4 linked regions of the Drosophila melanogaster genome follow. The protein of the gene in region 4 interacts with the protein of the main gene of each other region in a pairwise test. Each region holds a gene or a part of one and is shown on either strand. Other genes may lie near its edges.

Evidence for each region.
Region 1: the proteins of Pdha (region 4) and Arl2 interact in a two-hybrid assay, tested with the Drosophila melanogaster proteins (one large-scale study listed by BioGRID).
Region 2: the proteins of Pdha (region 4) and vnd interact in a two-hybrid assay, tested with the Drosophila melanogaster proteins (one large-scale study listed by BioGRID).
Region 3: the proteins of Pdha (region 4) and Hsp60B interact in a two-hybrid assay, tested with the Drosophila melanogaster proteins (one large-scale study listed by BioGRID).

What each region holds. Positions count from the first base shown.
Region 1 is NT_033777.3:8,339,354-8,342,419, reverse strand, and holds Arl2 (ADP ribosylation factor-like 2), read right to left. Parts: upstream 1,321-3,066; 5' UTR 1,242-1,320; coding exon 1,177-1,241; intron 1,118-1,176; coding exon 763-1,117; intron 760-762; exon of another isoform or gene 705-759; coding exon 570-704; 3' UTR 550-569; downstream 1-549. Other genes in the region: PNKP (polynucleotide kinase 3'-phosphatase), read left to right, coding at 1-549; COX7A (cytochrome c oxidase subunit 7A), read left to right, coding at 1,552-1,596, 1,649-1,900. UniProt on the Drosophila melanogaster protein: GTP-binding protein involved in protein trafficking; may modulate vesicle budding and uncoating within the Golgi apparatus.
Region 2 is NC_004354.4:589,243-597,088, reverse strand, and holds the start of vnd (ventral nervous system defective), read right to left. Parts: upstream 6,048-7,846; 5' UTR 5,695-6,047; coding exon 5,138-5,694; intron 3,442-5,137; coding exon 2,783-3,441; intron 734-2,782; coding exon 1-733. UniProt on the Drosophila melanogaster protein: Probable transcriptional regulator involved in the regulation of the proneural AS-C genes and the neurogenic genes of the enhancer of split complex. Could specifically activate proneural genes in the ventral-most neuroectoderm.
Region 3 is NT_033779.5:726,674-731,079, forward strand, and holds Hsp60B (heat shock protein 60B), read left to right. Parts: upstream 1-1,688; 5' UTR 1,689-1,834; coding exon 1,835-3,781; 3' UTR 3,782-3,891; downstream 3,892-4,406. UniProt on the Drosophila melanogaster protein: Prevents misfolding and promotes the refolding and proper assembly of unfolded polypeptides generated under stress conditions.
Region 4 is NC_004354.4:4,700,729-4,705,813, reverse strand, and holds Pdha (pyruvate dehydrogenase E1 alpha subunit), read right to left. Parts: upstream 3,490-5,085; 5' UTR 3,283-3,489; coding exon 3,223-3,282; exon of another isoform or gene 3,123-3,222; coding exon 2,922-3,122; intron 2,260-2,921; coding exon 1,695-2,259; intron 1,620-1,694; coding exon 1,297-1,619; intron 1,227-1,296; coding exon 1,044-1,226; 3' UTR 549-1,043; downstream 1-548. Other genes in the region: CG7024 (uncharacterized protein), read right to left, coding at 128-250.

The sequences.
Region 1 (3,066 bases), on a different chromosome or scaffold from region 4:
GAACCCACTAGCGTTCAGGACCAAGTATCTCTGCTTGATCCGGATGACTTGACCCTCGATGACCACCCCTGCGAAATGGTCATCATGGTGGGTCTGCCAGGATCCGGAAAGAGCCACTTTTGTTCCAGCTTTTTTCAACCGCGGGGCTACAAAATCGTCAATGCAGATACATTGGGTAGCACTCAAAACTGCCTGACTGCCTGTAAACGGTTCCTGGACTCGGGCCAATCATGTGTGGTGGATAACACCAATGTGGATGCAGCTTCTCGAAAAAAATTCTTGCAGTTGGCCAGCGAAAAGATGATTCCATGCCGCTGCCTTGTGATGAATGTGCCCGTCGCCCAAGTGAAGCACAATATAGCTTTCCGAGAGCTATCAGACTCCGCGCGCACCAAGATCAAGGACATGGTATTTAACATGATGAAGAAAAAGTACCAGGAACCCGCCCTAGACGAAGGATTTATATCCATACACAAGGTGAACTTTAAGCCCAATTTTGCGGACGAAAAGCAGGAAAAGCTATACAAAATGTACTTGGTCGAGAAATAAGGAAGTAAAATAAATTGTATTTAATCCAAAGTGAATATACGCTTAGCTATATCGGCGATCAACCAGTCCATGGAGCTAAGCAGTTTCTCGCCAGTCACTGCACTAACTCCGGCCACCAGCCAATGATGTGTGGTGATATCCTCTAGGTGTAGTATCTTTAAATATAAAGTATATTAAATGTGTTGTTTCAATAAAAAATCAATGAGAGTGAACCTCTTTAATTTCGTTGGATGAGAGGGCTCCCGGTAGATCCTGTTTGTTGCAGAGAACTAGGAGTGTGGCTCCAGCTAATCGCTCTTCCTGGAGCAGAACTTGCAGCTCCTGGCCGCAGGACTCTAGGCGCATCCTGTCAGCGCTATCCACCACCCAGACCAGACCATCAGTGGACTCGAAGTAGTTTCTCCAGTAGGATCGCAGAGACTTCTGGCCACCGACATCCCACATATTCAGGGTGTAGCCGTTGTGCTCCAAGGTTTTAATATTGAATCCCAGTGTGGGTGAGATGGTGTCTATGGGTTCGCCATTAAAGCGCTTCAGGATTGTCGTCTTGCCGGCATTATCCAGACCTCTATAAGAAAGTCGATACATGAATCACTATTTATTTTTTTATAATTCCATGGAACTCACAGCAGTAATATGCGCATTTCCCTTTCCTTCTGTCGCATCTTTTTTAATACTGTGAGGAAGCCCATGACAACGTCTGTATTTTAGTAACGCTATGGAATTATAAACAAATGTTTTTATTGGCAGCTGCTTAAATTGTTTATTAAACTAAATAGGAATTTCCAGGTGAATGCCAAACTGCTGGAAATATCGACATCGATGTATCGATAATACATCGATATATCTCCAGTTGTCAGCTGTCATATTTCAGACCGATATTTTTCGCCCAGGAAAACTGCTCACTTTTTGCTAAATCTTAAAAATAAACCCCAGCAAAATGATGAACCTGTCGAGAGTAAGTAATTTACATTACTCTACACACCTTTCTGGAGGAACAGCATGAGTTCCGAAACACTGGAGATCCCATTACCTACATCCAATTACGTAAGTTCCCTGGAGCCTCAGAACTAACCGCACATTTTGTACTCCTCGGCAGGCTGTTGTCCGTAGCTTCGCTACCACCGCTGGCCGCCGGTCCGCCGCCGTGCCCAAGGACCAGATCGAGAAGGGATACTTCGAGATCCGCAAGGTGCAGGAGCACTTTCAGAAGAAGGACGGCAAGCCCGTCTTCCTCAAGGGATCCGTCGTGGACAACGTGCTCTACCGCGTCACCGTCGCTCTCGCCCTCGTCGGCATCGGTGGCATGGGCAAGCTTTTCTACGAGCTGAGTGTTCCCAAGAAGGAGTGAAGTCGCAGTACCGAACCCTAAGCTAAGCCATTAAACCCCGCGCAAGATCCGTGATTCAGCGTAGTCGCCTTATATTTCAATGTTTTGATTGTGTAAGTTCCATTTTTTAGAATTTTGTGTTTATGCTAGGTTGCTAAGTTCTTGACATAAAATATGACATTATCCAAGGACAACATTCCGTAAACTATTCCCTGTATTTGTCTAATAAATTTATAGACTATGTTTAAACCTTAAGTTATAATATTTGTTTGCAAACTAGCATCTTAAAGTCTCCGTCTTATACAATAATAGTTTAATTAGGAATTTTATTTGTACAATAATAGATATGTGTAACATGAGAACCACTTGCCTAAGAGATCTGCCATTCAGATACAACATCTATCCCAAAAGTTTGTAACTAATCGCAATCCTTAATCCCTTTATCTTGCAGAGCCTTGCCCTGGATACCTGGACAACATGAAACACCCCAACCTACAACCTGGCTTATTGTTTTGTGTTAGAATAGCTAAGATTTGATGTGTAAACTGAACATTCGCAAGAGCATTTAAAGCGTGGAAATATAAGAGATCTGGCTGTAAAGTAACGAGACTGCTTATTTGTTTTAGGCACGGTCGCTGGCAACGAGATATTTGCCCAAAAGTATTTCCCCTTAATTGCATTGACATTAAGTAAACAAACAGCGGCGACATGGAGCAGAGATCTGGGATGCGGTCGAGACTGGGGAATCGGCTAAGGAAACGGCCTGTTTTATAAATCAAAGGGCGGCAACTCGGCGCGTTGCCATTGGCATGGAAATGCATTTTAAATCGAGCGAATCATGTTGCGCTTTAACACAAGCACAGGCCCATGCACGCCGCCCGTTTATTAATACCCGAGTGCGGCGGAATATGCAATTCATGACGTTTTTCATTAGTTATTCTCCATAAACACTTAAATAAAACTAAAGCATTAAAAATTATGAAAACATCCGCCGCTTTATGCATTTTCCCTGGCATTTTCCACACACTCACAACGGGCAGTGCGTCACGAAACTGTTGTGGAATTTAAGAAATATGTTAGTTATTAAACGAGAAATAATATTTAACAGATAGTTTCCGCAAACAGTTGCATGTTCTCAAGTCTAAGAGTATATTCCCTTATAGAAAACTCGTATAGTGAACTTAGTA
Region 2 (7,846 bases), 4.1 Mb from region 4:
TCGCCCAAGCAGGGCTTTCCGTTCCTCACCAGAACTGGAACGGCTACCCGACGGGGCGATGGCAGGGCACTGGGGTGATGCGGATGGGTGGCATGGCCGTGCAGTAGACCAGGATGACCCTCGTAGCCCTTCTCGTTTTGCGCCCGCTTCGTCTTGTAGCGATGGTTTTGAAACCAGATCTTCACCTGGGTCGGCGTCAGGCGGATCAAACTGGCCAGGTGCTCGCGTTCCGGGGCACTCAAGTAACGTTGTTGTCGAAACCGACGTTCCAGCTCATATGTTTGCGCCTTGGTGAACAGGACTCGTCGCTTCCGTTTCTTATTTGGCAGACCGTCGGATCCATTTGCATCCCCGCCGCCACTGCCGTCGGCGTCGTCCACGTCGTCGATATCCTCCTCGATGCCATCTTCGTTGAGGCTATCGTCGTGACCACTGCCTGCTCCGTTGATCCCCTCGGCCTTCAGGCTGTGGTTATTGTTGTTTGTCGTATTATTATTGTTGTTGTGTAGGGCATGGGCCGTCGGAGCGCCTCCGGCACTTCCATTACCAGAGGATCCATGGAGGGTGTGCAGGGCGTCGCCCACGGATAGTGCATCGCTATCGGCCGACCGGCTGTAGCTCTTGTAATCGCCGGAAAGGGCAGGCGATGTCTGGCAGTTGGAACCAATGTAGGTGTACGACACTTCCGAGGTAACTGGGGAGGTGCTATCCGGACTGGCGGGCTGCTGGGTACCTGAAATCAAAGAGGAAATCAAGGTTTTGGTTAATGTGCTAATTCTTCGTAGTAGATATATGGCTAAAACCGGGAGAAAACTCCCTTCTTAATATGCTGCTAATTGAGGAATAAATTGCTTGGGATAGCCATTTATTTATTTGCATTTTTCACAATGGTCCTACAGAATGGAAAGGCAATGGCAGGGTGCGAGCCCTGGGTGGGAATTTGTCAGCAATTGAGAAACCTCTTTAGCCGTAAATTAATGTAGCGACACACCCCTCCACATCGTCCAAGTGATCATGCAGAATTCGGGACAAAAGGGGGAAGTCAGTATCGCAACTACGGCAATTGGATTAGGCGCAACATGAAGCTGTGGTCGGAAACGATCCAAATGTCAAATGCCAGATGTATGCACTCCTTATGGTCCGCAGCGTCAAATCAACCCCTGCCCATCCCCTACGAGCTTCACCCTAACAACGCCAATTAGGCGGAGACAAACAGAGATCGCACACAAATACATACAAAAATACATGCCTAGGTGGGTATTCCCTTGTCGTCTACCTGAAACGATCGCTTCGATCTCTCGCTGAATGACTGCTGATCCTGGGCCTGTACTAAAAACCAGCAACCAGGATACTAATGGGACAACGACACAAAAGCCAGACCTCAAACACATCAATGGTAGCCGGGTCTCTTCCGGTTCGCCCCCTTTCGCAAGAGTTCCGAACTTCCAACAGATAGTGATTTAGTGATTTATCGCCGGGTGTGGCTATTTCTGATATTCTGGGGCGGGATCTGCGGTTGCAGAGGTATTAGAAGTGGGCTTATGCCAGTATTCAGGCAACTTCAAACGAGGCATGTAACTATAGAAAATCAAAAAGAAGCCCTTTAGTTCTTCCTAGCTTTCGAACTTTTGGATATAGTGCTGCGAAGGCAGCATTCCAAAGAATCGGAACGCGTCCTATCTGCATTTCTATTCCTATTGCAATGTATTTCATAAAATGTCTTCTAATGTGTGTATTCACCTGCCCGGGGTGATGTCCCCGTGGGACATTGATAAAACAACAAATGCAAGGGTCGTAGGAGCTCCTAATGCTCGCCTATCAGCTCCCACCGAGCTAGCCGCATTTGCCCTGCCACGGAAGCCATGCGCTCACCATGACAACTCAACAAATTAATAACTTAATATAATCAAAATGACTCTTCCTCGACTCCTTCACAGCTGTGGAAACTCCCAAAAAAAGAGCAGAAAAGAGAAAATAAAAAAACGGCAAGTGGGCAGCAGCTATAATTTGTAGCTAAACAATAAAGGAATAATAACAGAAGTGGGAAGGGATGAGGCGGAAGTGCGTGCCATAAATTTCCAGGATGAGAAATGTTTGGGCCGCAACAACAAGAAGCGATCGAGCGGGCAGCGATTGAATGTCCTGGCCGAAGGACACGAAGGACGTCAACTGCCAGAAAAACAACAGGGCTAATCCTCAAGTGTGAAGCGCATACAAACTATTAGTCATGATTAAAGGGGAAGCCCAACCCCTGCTCCTTGATTCCCAGTTATATACCCATTTCGATCCGCAGTTAACTGCCAACGAAAATAAAACACAACAGGGCCAGAATTAAACAAAGCTTGTCACACCCTGGAAGCACGTGAATCCGTCGAGTCCACAGGGTATGCAAATACAGCTGCCTCATCGCTCGACTGCTTCAACTCTCTGGCTCTCGGGAGCAGTGAGTGGTTAGTTACGGAACAGTATCATTAGTCGGCCAGTTAATCGGGGGTTAAATGCAGTCGAAAATTGTAAATTTCTTAAAGGGAGCTTCCTGCGGACTTCATTGATGAGTCTATTTTGAAACCAAGTTAATTCGTTGCTCTTTTGCCTACCCACGATTCAAAAGGATATTTGTTTGGGATCCAAAGACTTGCTTACAACCTGCCATTTAAGTGTTGCTTCTTCAAAAAGCCAACTCTAACTTGGTTATTGATATGGCCAGGAGCTATCTCCTGGAAATGGAGCAAATGAAAATGGATACATGCGTATCCATTTATGAGTTGAAACATTCGCTCACCGTATAGCTCGTTCTCCTTGATCCACGCACTCCTGCCCGAGTGCTGCAGCATGGTTTGGGCCATGTGGTGGTACGAGGACATCTCGTCGCCAAAGCTCCCCGGGAAGTTCTTGGGCAGGTTGGGCAGATATTGGCCGGCGGCCACAGCAGCCGCAGCCGCTGCATTGTGGCTGGCCAGCAGATGGGCGGCGGCTGCATTGGCATGGGCGTGGCTTTGGGCTTCGCCGCTCTGATGGTGCGCCAAAGGGAGTGGGGCCACCGCCTGCTGATGGTGCTGCTGCGGGAGGAGGAGGTGAGGGTGGTGGTGCTGCTGGTGGTGCGGGTGCTGTTGCTGCGGATGGCTAGGAGGGGCGTGATGCTCGGTGGTGCTGTGGTGATCCGCTTCTCCCGCTCCTCCCCCAGTCCCGCTGCCATTGTGGTGCTCGTCCGCGGAAACGCCCGCTGGCGTGGGCGACAGCGCCGAAGGCGAGGTGTGAGATCCCTGGCCGCGATGTCCACTGGTGGACTCACTGGCCGAGTGGTGACTCAAATCGCTGCCATGGTGGGCGGCAGCAGCGGCGGCAGCTGCTGCATTCTTCAGCTCAGAGCCCTCCAAATTCAAGATGTCCGATATATGGAAGCCAGAGCGTTGGGACGACGGCACCTTTGCATCGAATAAGCTGCAAGGAGATCAATATGTTAATTCTAACTGAACTTCAACACTAAAAATTTGAGTTAAATGTTTATTTCTCATTTCAATTGAGCACTCGCCTACAGTTTTAAAGAAAAAAAGGCAAAAAGCATACCAAAGATGAGTTGTAATAGTTTTTCTTGAGATTCTGTGTAGTTTCTTAATTGTCCCGGCAAATTGTCATATAATCGAGTGATTAATGACTCCCCGAGTATAAAGATGGCTCCTTAGAGGACGTGGAACGATTTTTCCCTGTTTCATGCTTATTGCAGCGACATCCTGTGTCAATCGTGTGAATGGCCGGAAGGTTTAACAAAAGGAGGTCCCTGTTGGTCGGGATATGCAAAGGAAACTACCTGCACTACCTGTAGCGCTCTGACTTTCACAGATTTTTGCACTTGCCGTTGTTAAGAAGATAAGGAGGTGGGGGGTGTGCATCCTGCAGGCATGCTTCGGAACCGAAAACGCGCACATTTCCCCCGGAATTAACTTTGAATAAGTGCACCCAAATCGCTGGATTATTGACACCTAGTCCCGGTCAGACCCCGAGTTTTGATTTGCCTAATACCATCAACAATTAAACGCAAATCCGCCTCGTAAGGATCGCAGCTACCTGGTCGGGTCAGTGCAGGTCAGCACAGGTCAGCAGGGACTCTTTACGGGTCGAAACAGGTCGTGCCACATGTTGGCGCAAGTTTGCTTGCTTCCGGTTTTCCCATTTCGAGTTTTCCCGAAGACCCCGACTCGCGAATTTCCCACGCTATGGACAGGCTACACGGGCATTCCCCGTCCTCCTGAGCGGAAATCCCATTGCCAGACAGTGTGACGCCAGTATCTCGAAGGCATCTGAGTCCCATGTCTGTCGTACACATGTCATTCCCGATTGGGGTTTCCCTGGCTCTCACCTACGGGAATTTCTAAGCCAGGGTCGAACAACAAGCCAGAATTTCCCAACCGCCATTCGCCAGGACCTTGAGTACTTGCCAGATCAAAGAGGCGGGGAATTATACCCTGTGTCCTGTACTTGCGCGCTGTGCCCGCTTGGTTAATTTAAAGAGCTACCAGGATTAGCCGGACAAGTCCATCAGCTATATGGGATCTAAACACTAATATGGAGGCAGAGGCTCGCAGGGTGTGATTTTAAGTCGGAGCTTAGGCGAAGGCAATTGCAAAGTATGGCTGGTCTTGCGTATTCTGCAGATTCTGCTTTCAACGCCCAATCTTCCAAATTATTAGATTAGGAGAATTAATTAATGGTCTTGCGTATTCTGCAGATTCTGCTTTCAACGCCCAATCTTCCAAATTATTAGATTAGGAGAATTAATAGAAAGACATAGAAAATTAATCGGGAACCCAAAACCTTGAAAACCATATCTGTTTTTTACAAAGTGGTCAGCCATGAAAGGCAAACGTATTGTCGGTGGTCAGTAATTTTGTTTCAATCTGAGGCATGTCCTTATTATCCATATCTTGGCCAGATCCATGCCATCAAAGTGTTACCAATGCTTAAGCGTTTATAAATAGCCCACAAAACAGAGGTCATAATTAGAAGAACTAGAATGGACTTGTGTCAACGTATCACCAAAATATGCTTTTCGTAACCAAGACATATGAATCATAGGTTTGTGTTCACCACTCCAGAGGTATCAATGTTTTAATTATTCCATTGGAATCCTTGTGCTTACCCAGGCAAAGCGTTTCGCAGGGCCGCCGGATAAAAGGCGGCTGGTAGGAGGGCGTGGTTCCACGGCGGCAGCAGGATGGGCGACCAGGGCAGAAACGGGGCCGCTGCTGCGGCGGCCACAGCCGCCGACGATGGAAGCATAAGACTACTCATGCTGTGGAGCCCCGGAAATCCGCTGAAGGCGGCTGCACCCGTCGGAATGCGGAGCTGTTCGGGCGCCAATCCGGAACTGGAACTTGTGTTCGTGGGCACGGTGGTGCTGGCGGTGCTGAAGACTGCGGCGAATCTCTCGTGATCTCTGTCTCGCTCGTGCCGTTCCTGCCGCTCCTTGCGATCCTCCCGGTCCTCTCGATCCTCACGCTCCCTCTTCCGCTCCAGCGAGGGCGTTGAGGTGCGCAGCGGGCGCTTCGGCGTGGCTGGGGAGGACGGACTCACCGTGATAGCGCTTTGGGGCGATGCGGGCAAGCTGCCAGCGCTGCCCAGACCGCTGCTGTTGTCCCGCTCGCGATCTCGATCCCGCTTTGAGGGGGTCCTCTCCAAGGACGCCGACGTGGTCATATCGCTTTGCGATATCGGGGAACCACTGTTTGATTTACTACGCTGCGACGCGGGTGGCGGCGTGGGCGGACTTTTGCGTTTCTCCGCCACTTTGGAGCTTTTACGGTGTTCGGAGCACGGAAAAAAAATATGTTTATGTGTAGTTACTGGGTAGCACTGCGATGAATTAAGCGGGTATCCTGGTAGGGCAACTTAAATTCCAGACATAGTTCGATTTAGGCTTAAGTTTAAGTTTATCACCGGGAAAGTTCGATAGTTCAAGGGTCGCGAGTCGTTTCTCGATTTCTCAGTTGCACGGGTCCGCGGAGCAGCGCACTCTACACATTCCAAACTGAAGTGTCATCAACAACTAACGAGGCATCAAGAACTCAACACGAGTCCAAGTCGCTTCAGAACAGCCAATAACCAAAACCCAACAACCAACGGCAGAAAAGTACCAGGTCGTATGCTCGGGGTGTCTTTGGGTATCACTATGTATGTGGTGCATATCTGTATCTGCATCCCTCTGCCATTGGGTACATAACGCAGATACTCGGATAGTCGCACACACACACACACATACACAAACACACACACGCACACAGCCAGACTGGAGAGACTCTCGGCTTTGTTGGGCGCGCTAAGTGGCTTCTTATGTCCTTTTCAACAAGGATACGGCAACAATGTGAGTGGCCTATTCAACCACCGAGAGAACCAACCACCATTCGTCGCCAGAGCGAGACGTACGATGTGAACCGAGTCCTTATGCCGCACGTCATCCCGCTCTAACTCTTTCCTGTTGCTTTCTCTGCCGCTCTCAAGAGTGCCACTTGAGTGAGAGTGTGTGTGTGCTGCAGCCTCTGTGTATGTTTGCTTGTGTGTGCGCGAGAGTGAGTGTGGATGCGAGGCCATTGTAGCGCCTCACGAACCTCCTCAGGCACGTCGGATTGACGTTCCCAGATAGGGATTCTGGGATTGGGCCGTTCTCTTCCAGCAGTGCTCTGCACTTGATGTTGTCAGCATTCCCCGCGTCATTTAATTGTATTTATCATTATCAGCTCTCTGCAACTCTGGACTTCCGGAGCGGGAACATCAGCCCCGACTTGTGGCGCCTATGCGGTGGGTCCAAGGAGAGGACAGGACAGGGCAAGACATGCGATTGTGACCGGCATTTAGCACGATAATATCAGATGGTGATATCAGCCATTATCCTATTGAGGAACGAGGGCGATAAGAAAAATTTTCTGGAATTACGCTCTCGCCTTTTCTATATGTAGTTGGCTATTTAAGAATCAGATCAATTCATCATTTAAAATCCCAGTCGGGTTGTAATACTTTGAGATTTTGAGTACCAACCATGATTAGATCTGGGGAGGATTGATCACATATTTGTGATTTTATATTAGTCAGCAACGAAATCTTATTTTGAACCACGAACTATTATTTTAATACTTAAAAGGCGCACTGCGAAAACCCTTTTAAAGGCATTCTCACATTACCATACCGGTGAAAGAACGTTATTTTTGCGAAGGCATTATTTTCTTCTGCCGTGTTAGTGGTATGCTATTATACTTGGACATTTAGTTTACTTCACGGTACGTTCTTTGGGAATTGCAATAAATTTCTTGCGTGCAACGGAACTGTTATAGACCACTTTGGCACTGACATAGGGGCCTTATGTACAAGGAGTGTCGCTGTTCGTGCAATTTGAATTTCGATTTCATACTCGTAAGCCAACTCGTGATTAGTGCAGATCCTTCAAACGCCAATACATGGCGCCGTTCCTTGAGAGGTGGCTTCGGGACACACCCCGGACACTCACAGATAGGGAGAGTGCGAGCGAGGAGGTCGAAAGTAAAGTATGGGAATATACATAATCAGCACGAGCAGTAAACGACAGGACAGACTGAACTGGGGGTATCCGCCCGAGGCAATTGAAAACATGGCAAGAGTCCGTTGGGGCTGGCCCCATTTACATATGGGCTGGGGGCTATATACATATATCAGAATATGCATATACATATATATATATATATATATATATATATATATATATATAAATATATGTTGTGTATATGAAGGAAGCTCCATGATCCCTATCCACGAGCATCCGCCCTCTAAAAGTGGGCACCCCACTGTCGCTCATGACTTCGCACCATTATTCTCCCCATGG
Region 3 (4,406 bases), on a different chromosome or scaffold from region 4:
AAACTAGGGGGGCAAAGGCTAAATTGAGGCTAAGCTTTAGCTGCCTCATTACACTCAGAAATATGCACTAACAGCTAGCGTATGGCCAGAATTGAAACATGACACACACATTTTATATGCCCGTTAATTACTGTAATTCAAGATCAAAATTATTGGCCATTTAAAATTGTTGAACCTGATAATTTGCTATGACGACCACCAAATTATTTATTTTAGTGCAGTTCATCGATAGATCGCTCCCATCAGCTCAATCTGCACTTGGCTGCCCCAGATCCCAGATCCAGGAATTTCGTCTGCCTGGTACTTACGCAAATGCTCAGATTGAACTGCCAGTCTATCGTCTGCAGTCTATCCATTTCTCATTAAAACTTTCTTTGCTGTCTGCTCCACAATTACCCGAACGACTTCATCTGCTCGATCCACGGATCCATCCGCGGGTAATGACAGAGCCGGCAAAAAATCTGCCAAAACCAATAGGAAATCATCAGCCAACGGTCAGTGGGTTAATTTTGGCCCACCAAAAATACTGAAATGAATTGGAGAATCCCCGAAGATGGCCTGCAATTAATCATAGATTGAGGCTTATTCGCTATCCAGCGAAAGTAATTTGTAGCCGACAAGAGACCCTGCAGATCGCTTGTAGTTACGATTATCGCACAGCCCACCAGGTGGTCTTCCCACCATGGACACTTTCACATGTCGCAGAGTTGGCGCAGATGGGGAGAAAGGTTGCGAGAGGAAGAAGAGTCGTCGAACATGCAAATGCCTCATCAATCAGCTCCTCCGCCCTTCCCCTTCAAATCGGTGACGTGCTTTTGACACAAAACCCGGCTACTGTGCTACCGCTTGCACATGGCAATCAACGCGTCAAGCGGCCAGGAAACGGATCCCGATTCCGACCCCAGTTCCAATTCCCGTCTGCGGCACACAGAAAAAAGTTATACCTACTGAACTAAATGTGACATTATTTTATACGTATAGAATACGAGAGATAGCTCATATAAATCGCATTGAATTTATATGCAAACCTATTTCTAAACATTCATACCTAAGTGCAATTCATCGTGCGAAAGTAATGCCTTCTTGCGCGCTGTGCACCCAACATTTTCATCCCATCTCCATTTCCATCTCCGCCTCAAACTCCCCATTTCCATTTCCATTTGCCGTTTGGCTTGCAGCAAAATGTGTGAATTTCTTTAGTTTGCAGTAGGCAGCACACAATTTTTGACAGCTGCCTTCGAAATGGGAACGGTCAGCCGAGGAAAATGCATCCATCCTCCGGTGCAGAACAGTCGCACCGCAGTTCTGGGAAATCTGCACACGCTGGTCTTGTTTGTGGGTCAGCCTCAGCCGATGGAGGCGAATAGAACTGCAAATGGGCAGACTCCACCCAGAATGTCGGGGCTTATTAGCTGCACGCTAATTTATTCCGGCAAACAGAAGGCACGGCTTCTGTTGTCGAAGATTTCAGAGCCGCAGATCGCAGACGGGCAGGCGCCAGACAAATGAATGTTGTGAAATCTGGCGATTGCCTGGAAACTTGTCCGCAAAGAGAAAAAAGAAAAAAGAGAAAAGTGCTCAAGGAAAAGCAATATAAATAAAGAAGAATGGCTTGCACATGTTACATAAAACGAGAAGCTTAAAGATAATGGAAACAAAATTTGGATTTGAATATGGGAGTAGGCCTTGAACGAGTCCGTCTAGTCCGTCAGTATCGAGTCAACAACCTACATATTAGTTGCACTCACTTCGTGTCTGAGATCAAACGAAAAAATATTAGAACCAAAAGTTTTGAAAGTTTTTTTTTTATTATAGTTTCAAACTTAAGTGCAAAATGTTTCGGTCGTGTGTGCCCAAGGCGATTACCTCTAGTCGCTGTTTCGCGCGGATGTACTCGAAGGACGTGCGCTTTGGCTCCGGAGTACGGGCAATGATGATCCGGGGCGTTGATATTCTGGCTGATGCCGTTGCTGTGACCATGGGGCCCAAGGGTCGCAGTGTGATCGTGGAGCGACCATGGACCTCGCCGAAGATCACCAAGGACGGCTTCACGGTCGCGCGCTCGATTGCCCTAAAGGACCAGCACATGAATCTGGGCGCCAAGTTGGTCCAGGATGTGGCCGATAATACGAATGAGTCGGCGGGTGACGGCACGACCACAGCAACAGTTTTGGCTCGAGCGATTGCCAAGGAAGGATTCAATCAGATTACCATGGGGGCTAATCCCGTGGAGATTCGTCGAGGTGTCATGTTAGCTGTTGACGTCGTAAAGGACAAGCTGAAGGAAATGTCCAAGGCAGTGGAAACGCGTGAGGAGATCCAACAAGTAGCCACCCTCTCCGCGAACGGGGATACTGAAATTGGGCGGCTCATTGGTGAGGCCACCGACAAAGTGGGTCCAAGAGGAACTATTACTGTAAAGGATGGCAAGCGCCTGAAGGACGAGCTAAATATTATCCAGGGCCTGCGCTTCGACAACGGCTATGTGTCGCCCTTTTTCGTAAACAGCTCCAAGGGGTCCAAGGTGGAGTTTGCCAACGCCCTTGTAATGATATCCCTGAAGAAGATCACTGGACTCTCGCAAATAGTTAAAGGTCTGGAGCAATCCCTGAGGCAGCGTCGTCCCCTGATCATCATAGCCGAGGACATCAGCGGGGAAGCCCTCAATGCTTTGGTCCTGAACAAGCTCAGGTTGGGCCTCCAGGTGTGCGCCGTCAAATCGCCCAGCTATGGACACCACCGCAAGGAGCTTATAGGCGATATATCCGCTGCCACGGGAGCAACTATTTTCGGCGATGACATCAACTATTCCAAAATGGAGGAGGCTAAGCTGGAGGATCTGGGTCAGGTTGGCGAGGCTGTGATTAGCAAGGACAGCACCATGCTCCTGCAGGGCAAACCCAAGACAGGACTTTTGGAAATGCGCATCCAGCAAATTCAAGATGAACTGGCGGAAAAGCAAATCAAGCCAGAGCAGCGGGATCGTCTGCGCCAACGCCTCTCCGCCCTCACGAAGGGCGTGGCAGTGCTGCACATTGGTGGAGGCAGTGAAGTTGAGGTGAATGAGAAAAAGGACCGTGTGGTGGACGCCTTGAATGCCACTCGAGCGGCCATCGAAGAGGGAATTGTCCCAGGTGGCGGTACGGCCTTTTTGCGCTGCATTCCCTACCTCCAGGAACTCAAAACGGAGAGTGCAGATCTCCAGAAGGGCGTCGATATCGTCTGCAATGCCCTGAGGATGCCTTGCCAGACCATAGCTCAAAACGCCGGAGTTGATGGCCCAATGGTGGTGGCCAAGGTGTTGAATGGCTCGGAAGACTACGGCTACGATGCCATGGGCGATGAGTACTGTCGGCTGGTCGAGAAGGGCATTATTGATCCCACAAAGGTGCTGCGGACCGCCATCACGGATGCAGCTGGAGTGGCCTCTCTTCTGAGCACCACCGAGGTGGTTATCACCGACTCCCGGAACGATGATCTTTTGTCCAAGTTGTCAGGAGCTGGCGGCGGAATGGATGATGGACTGGACATGAACATGGGTGGCTTAGAGGAGCTGGCAGCCTTAAGTGGATTGGGTGGCATGGGTGGTATGGGAGGCATGGGTGGTATGGGAGGTATGGGAGGAATGGGAGGTGGATTCGGCGGAATGGGCGCTGGTGGCGGAATGAGCGCTTCTGCCAGCAATGACGGTCCCACTGCCGAGGAGATGAATGAAATGGTCAAGGCTATTCCCGGCATGGAGCAAGTAGAGGTGCGTGACATTGACAGTGGGATGATGTAGAACCCGCTTCCGTTATCCGCTCCAGCTCAAATCGTTTCTATAGTTCAAATATCTGTTGAGTGTCTAAATTTTATGTGTTCATCTAAAATATAAATTGACAATCGAAAACGAATTGTATAAAACAGTCGGGAACCCTTCCAAATGACTTGAGAAAGTGAATTATTGGCCTTTTCCCTACACCAGCAGTTTTCTGGCCAAATATCTTTCAACCGGTTCATTATGCTGGTCTGCAAAAAGCTACACTTCCTTCACACTTTCGGTTTTTAATTGCAGCCGAAAATTTGGAACGGCGACCGGCAGAGCGAATCCAGCTGCAATGCGATGATCATTTGCATAAAACAAACAGCAATTTCTCACACATGTGAGCCGACCCTCGGTTTTTTCCCCCGTACTTTGCATGGTTTGTGTTTGCAGATTTCATTTGTGGCCCGCAGCTAAAAAAGCGATTCGTTACATGAGAGTGAGTGCGCAAGAAGGGGGGCCTGAGGCTGGGAGCCTCCACAAGAGCGTCACATCAAACATGCATCAATAAATAAGTAATTCCAATTTGCAAATTTTTCATCGAGGCCCGCAAACGAACCGAAAATGGTGGACGGACCCATCGAGCATCGAGCGTGGGCCAGGG
Region 4 (5,085 bases):
CAAATATTTAAACATTTTTCAGAGTACATAATTTAATTCAAAATGAAAAATATAACTTTTACGATATAGCTTTTTTCAATGGTATTTACTTATCCATTGACCTTCTTGTGATAATCAAAACACTTACGTTCTCCAGGGTCAAACAGCTACATTTGTGGCGCCCTATTATCCTGCAGAGCATATTTCTCTCGAGGATGGAGTGGGCTCCACTGCATCTCATCGCCACGCGGACACAACTGAACTTCATCATTGGCCCTTGCCCGAATACCAATTCCCAAACACCGGGGCACTAAAATGAGCTTGTAGCCAAATGGGCAATTGCCACGCACTAAAATTTTGAATATGATCGGAAATTGTTGAAAAATGGATTTGTACTCAACCGAAAAGAAATCGACAGTAAAATCATAAGCAAATCGACAGAGATGGCAACTGTCACTAAACAGAACGAGAAGGAAATATAACGATTTTGGGATTGCTTATGGAGCTGACAACTGCTCCTTTTCAAATACTACTTTGATTCGAACTGTAATTCTTCCACAAATCGAATTATCTATTAAATCTATTCCGTTTATTAATATCTTATAAATCTATCAAAATTCTATAGTGCAAGTATAGGTGAAACAGACTGAGATTTTCACATTTCAAAAGTACATACTTGATTCACTTTTGTTAAGAAAACTAATTTGGATTAATTTTTCTAGATTTTTATATTTTCAACAATTTACACCTCGCTTTATCCTTATTGAACACGTTCGCAATATAATATCCAATGCAGTACCCCAGAGTTATGTGGTGCGCTACGATGTGTGGTTGGAGTGCTCCGATTAGCTAAGCTTTTTGTGGGTCTCTTCGGATCCGTTCCGTTCTACGGGGTTCTCATCGTTCAACTTTCGGCTTATGATCTAGAGATTTCGCTTGTGTCCAAGTTTCTGAGTTATTGTGTCTTCTTGTCTGTCTGTCAGTGATTTGTGTTTGCTGTTCGGTTTTCTTGTTTCGTTTAAGGTTCTTGTGAGTTCCCGAATCAGATTCGTTGGCCCGATGACTTAGTGATTGACGCCCTTGCGCTCCTGGATGTGATCAATATCGTAGGCGATGGTGCCGCGCAGCTTGGGCTCCAGATTGTTGGAGTACACGTCCGTCCAGAGGTGGCTCACGCCCAGCTCGGCATCGGACTTGGCGAAGGCGGTGGCCTCGTCGACCTCCTTGCGTACCTTCAGATCGATGGCCTGGAAGATGTTTTTTTCTTTTAGCAATCATAACTCATAACAAAAATAAAACCCTATAAGCCAAACCCACCTTAACTTCATCGGTGGTAATCAGACCCAGCTCGATGCACAGCTCCTTGAAGGAGGTGATGGGATCACGCTTCTGGCGCACCTCCTGGATCTCCTCGCGTGTGCGGTACGATGTGCCCGGATCGGACATGGAGTGTCCAGAGTATCGGTACGTGTTCGTCTCCATCACCAAAGGTCCGTGAGTGTTCACATAGTTGATGGCGAACTCGGTGGCGCTGCGCACGGCCAGCACATCCATGCCGTCCACCCAGATTCCGGGCAGAGCGTCGCCGCGGGTATAGTAATCAGTGTTGCAGGAAGCACGCTCAGAACTGGTGCCCATTCCTAATGGGTATAATTATACAACATTTGGTTTAAGTAAATATCTTTTAGCATTGTTCCACTTTCTACAGCACTCACCGTAGTTGTTGTTCTCGCAGACAAAGATCACAGGCAGTTTCCACAGGTAGGCCATGTTGTAAGCCTCGAACACCTGTCCTTGATTGGCGGCACCATCACCGTAGAGGGCCAGGCACATGCCGCCATTGCCCTTGTACTTGCAGGCCAAGCCAACGCCGGCACCCAAAGGAACTTGAGCACCCACGATGCCATTGCCTCCGTAGAAGTTCGGTGCGTACATGTGCATGGAGCCACCCTTGCCGCGGGCACAGCCACCCTGGACACCGGTGAGCTCAGCCAGTACGCCGCTGGGTGAGACGCCCATCAGGTAGGTCCATCCGTGGACACGGTACGCCGAGATGATGTTGTCCACATCCCGCATCGCCGCCTTCATGCCAACGGCGCATGCCTCCTGGCCGGAATACAGATGACAGAAGCCGCGAATGATCTTCTCCTTGTACAGATTACCGGCGGCCGTCTCCAACCGACGGATCGTCTGCATCTGTGTGTAGTACTTGAGGGCCTGATCCTTGGTCAGCTTCACTTCCGTGGCGGGTCCTTCGTCCAGGCGGTGCAGCTTGAAGGGCTGCAAAGTTGGAAAGCATATTTAGAATTTAGATCCCTAAACTTCATTAATTTTAAAAACGTTTTCTACTTTTACATTAACAACTGACACACACATCTGATAAGAACGTAACGGAAACGTTTGGAACGCATGATAAGTAATAAAATGATAGCAGTTTGATTGGATAAACCAAATAACCATAGGCTTCAAGCTTCTCTAATCAAAGTATACTAATCTATAGAGAGCTATAACCACATATCGAGGATTTTCGGAAGTATGCTCCAAAAACCAAATTTGGATTTATGGCGGCTAATTTATGGCGTGAGAATCGACGTAAACAGAGAGCCAGACAGACAGACGGAGAGAAAGAGAGAGAGGGTGAAAATCGGCGGATCGTTGATAAGACTATATGTTATATGGTGCGTGAACAGTCACGCGTCGGCCACGCAAAAGGCAGACGGTGATAAAGAGCGTGGGAGACGGAAAACTACAAATTACTGCGTGACCTTGTCATTTGAAAATGAGCGGATTGACCGGCAAAATGCAACCCTGCACTTACACACACACACACACACACGCAAACCGTTTGCTATCTGGCGAAAATCGCATTATGTAACCGTATTTTTTCCCTTCCGACTTTTGAATTTTCCTGAGTTACAAGTACTTAATGCTATAATACGCACCCGATTCACTTGAACGGTGGCCTCCGTGGCATAATTGTTGGTTTTCGAAACACCTGCTTGGGCTGCATTCTGGAATAAACCGAAAAACGACGATGAATATCTCCCATTCCTGATGATATCGATGCTGCTGTTGTTGTTGTTGTTGCTAAGTATCCGACATCCGCTGATGATGATGTTGTTGTTGTTGTTGTTATGGCAACGCTTTTAGTGTTTTCATTATCGAATGGATTTGTTCAATTGCATTTTTAGTGACAACAATTAGAAATGTTAGTGGGTGCAAAGCGGGATTGGGATTACGTACTTTTTGCAGTTGCTTAACAATAATGGGCAATTCGCTAACGCGTGACAGAGTACGCAACATTTTCGCTGTGTTATTCTCGTTCGACTGACAGAAATTGGATGTGAATGGGGGCTTTCTATATGCGGATTGTCCGGATCTAGAATCGCACGCTATATATCTGGTGTCTCAGTCGCACCGCCGCGCGTCGTTGTAAGTTAAACAATCGGAAAAAAAGGTAGCGAGATTAGTTTATCAACTACTATATTGCACAACTATAACAACCGTTTGGCGTTATAGCGAAAAATAACGCACCACTTGGCCTATTAGTGTGACCCTAAATAAAATACTGCAGCTTTCCCTGTTTTCAAAAAATACTAAATTAGCTTATCGAACTTTCTTTTTCAATATAACTTGAAATATAAATGTTTACGTAAAATATTCAATAAGCTTTTATATAATGTGTCACACAATGTTATATCAAAATAATAGTAGTGTTTGGCGGTTATTGAAATACTCGAATAAATACTTACTCAATCACATTTTATATTACTTTGCCGCCCAAATAAAACGAGGGTTTTCAAAGAAGTACTTTTATTTCACATTGAAGATCTCATTTGGTTTTTGTTTGCTTTCTCATTTCTTACTCGTATTGTTACTTGAAATTGCCTCCATAAATCCACATTTGCGATTGCAGTTGCAATTGCAATACTGCTCTATATCGCACTCAGCTCACATAATTCACTAATCTCTTACAAAAACTTAAGTAATGTTTGTTCCTTGCACAAAAAACCAGTTAAATAGAAATAGGTAAAGTAGAATTAAACAGTTAAATTCAAATAAACGCTTTACAAACTAAGATTTTAAACTAGTTTTTGTATTTGTTGGTTTCTCGGTTTGTTGTTTCATTTTTTTTTTTTTGCTTTAGAAATGGCAGCTAAAAGATTTGAGTTTAAAAGTTACTAACGGAAAATGAGGAAATGGATCGATCGTTTGGGAAAAACTAAGCGAATGAAATAAATTTTTTACTTTCTTTTATCTATCTTTTGCTCTGTTACCGTTACACATATTCAATTTTTCGCGCGTTTTTCTGTTACATCAAAAATTGGTTTCTCACACAAATATTTTGCATTATGACAAAAAATTATGCTTTGCTTTGTTTTTTGTTTTGTTTCATATGTATACATGTACATGTATATATATATATATTTGTATGTATAAACACTTATTAGAAGTCCTGTTGTGTTTTTGTTTCCTTTCCCGTTAGAAATCCGGCATTCCGATTATAAGAAAAAAATTTAGTTTTTCTCTTCGTCTTCTTGTTTTTGCGAGTGCTTGTGTGTGTGTAAGTGGGGGAGGTGTGTGTGTGTGTGGGTGAGAGAGAGAGAGGAGGTTCTATCTTACCGTTAGCATAAATAGTTTTGTGTCTACGCAAAAACGTGCTGAGCAATAATCTAAAACGCAATAGCTAAAGAGAGAGAGGTGCTGTATGTGTGTGAAAAGTAACGGTAAATGTGTGTGATTTCTGCATATGTCTTCTGTTGTTTTCAGGAAATTACGTATTAAGCTTCTTATTTTTTTTGGTTGTTTTTAGTAGGTTTTACTTAGGTTCTTGCTTAATTTACACCAATGTTTACTTTATTTTGTATTTCTTGCATGAATATATATATTTACTTTTTGGTTTCCTTGTTTCTTATTACTGTTCGCTTTCATTCCTTGAAATTTGCCTTTAAATTGTTACTGTTCTTCTGTTTTATATAACATAAATCCGATTCGGAGAAACACATAGCACACACTTATATAAACGACAAGATGATAATTATTTATTTTGTCTTTGCTTTTGCTTTCGACTTTCTCCGCCTTTTTGTTTTATTACTGCTTGCACAC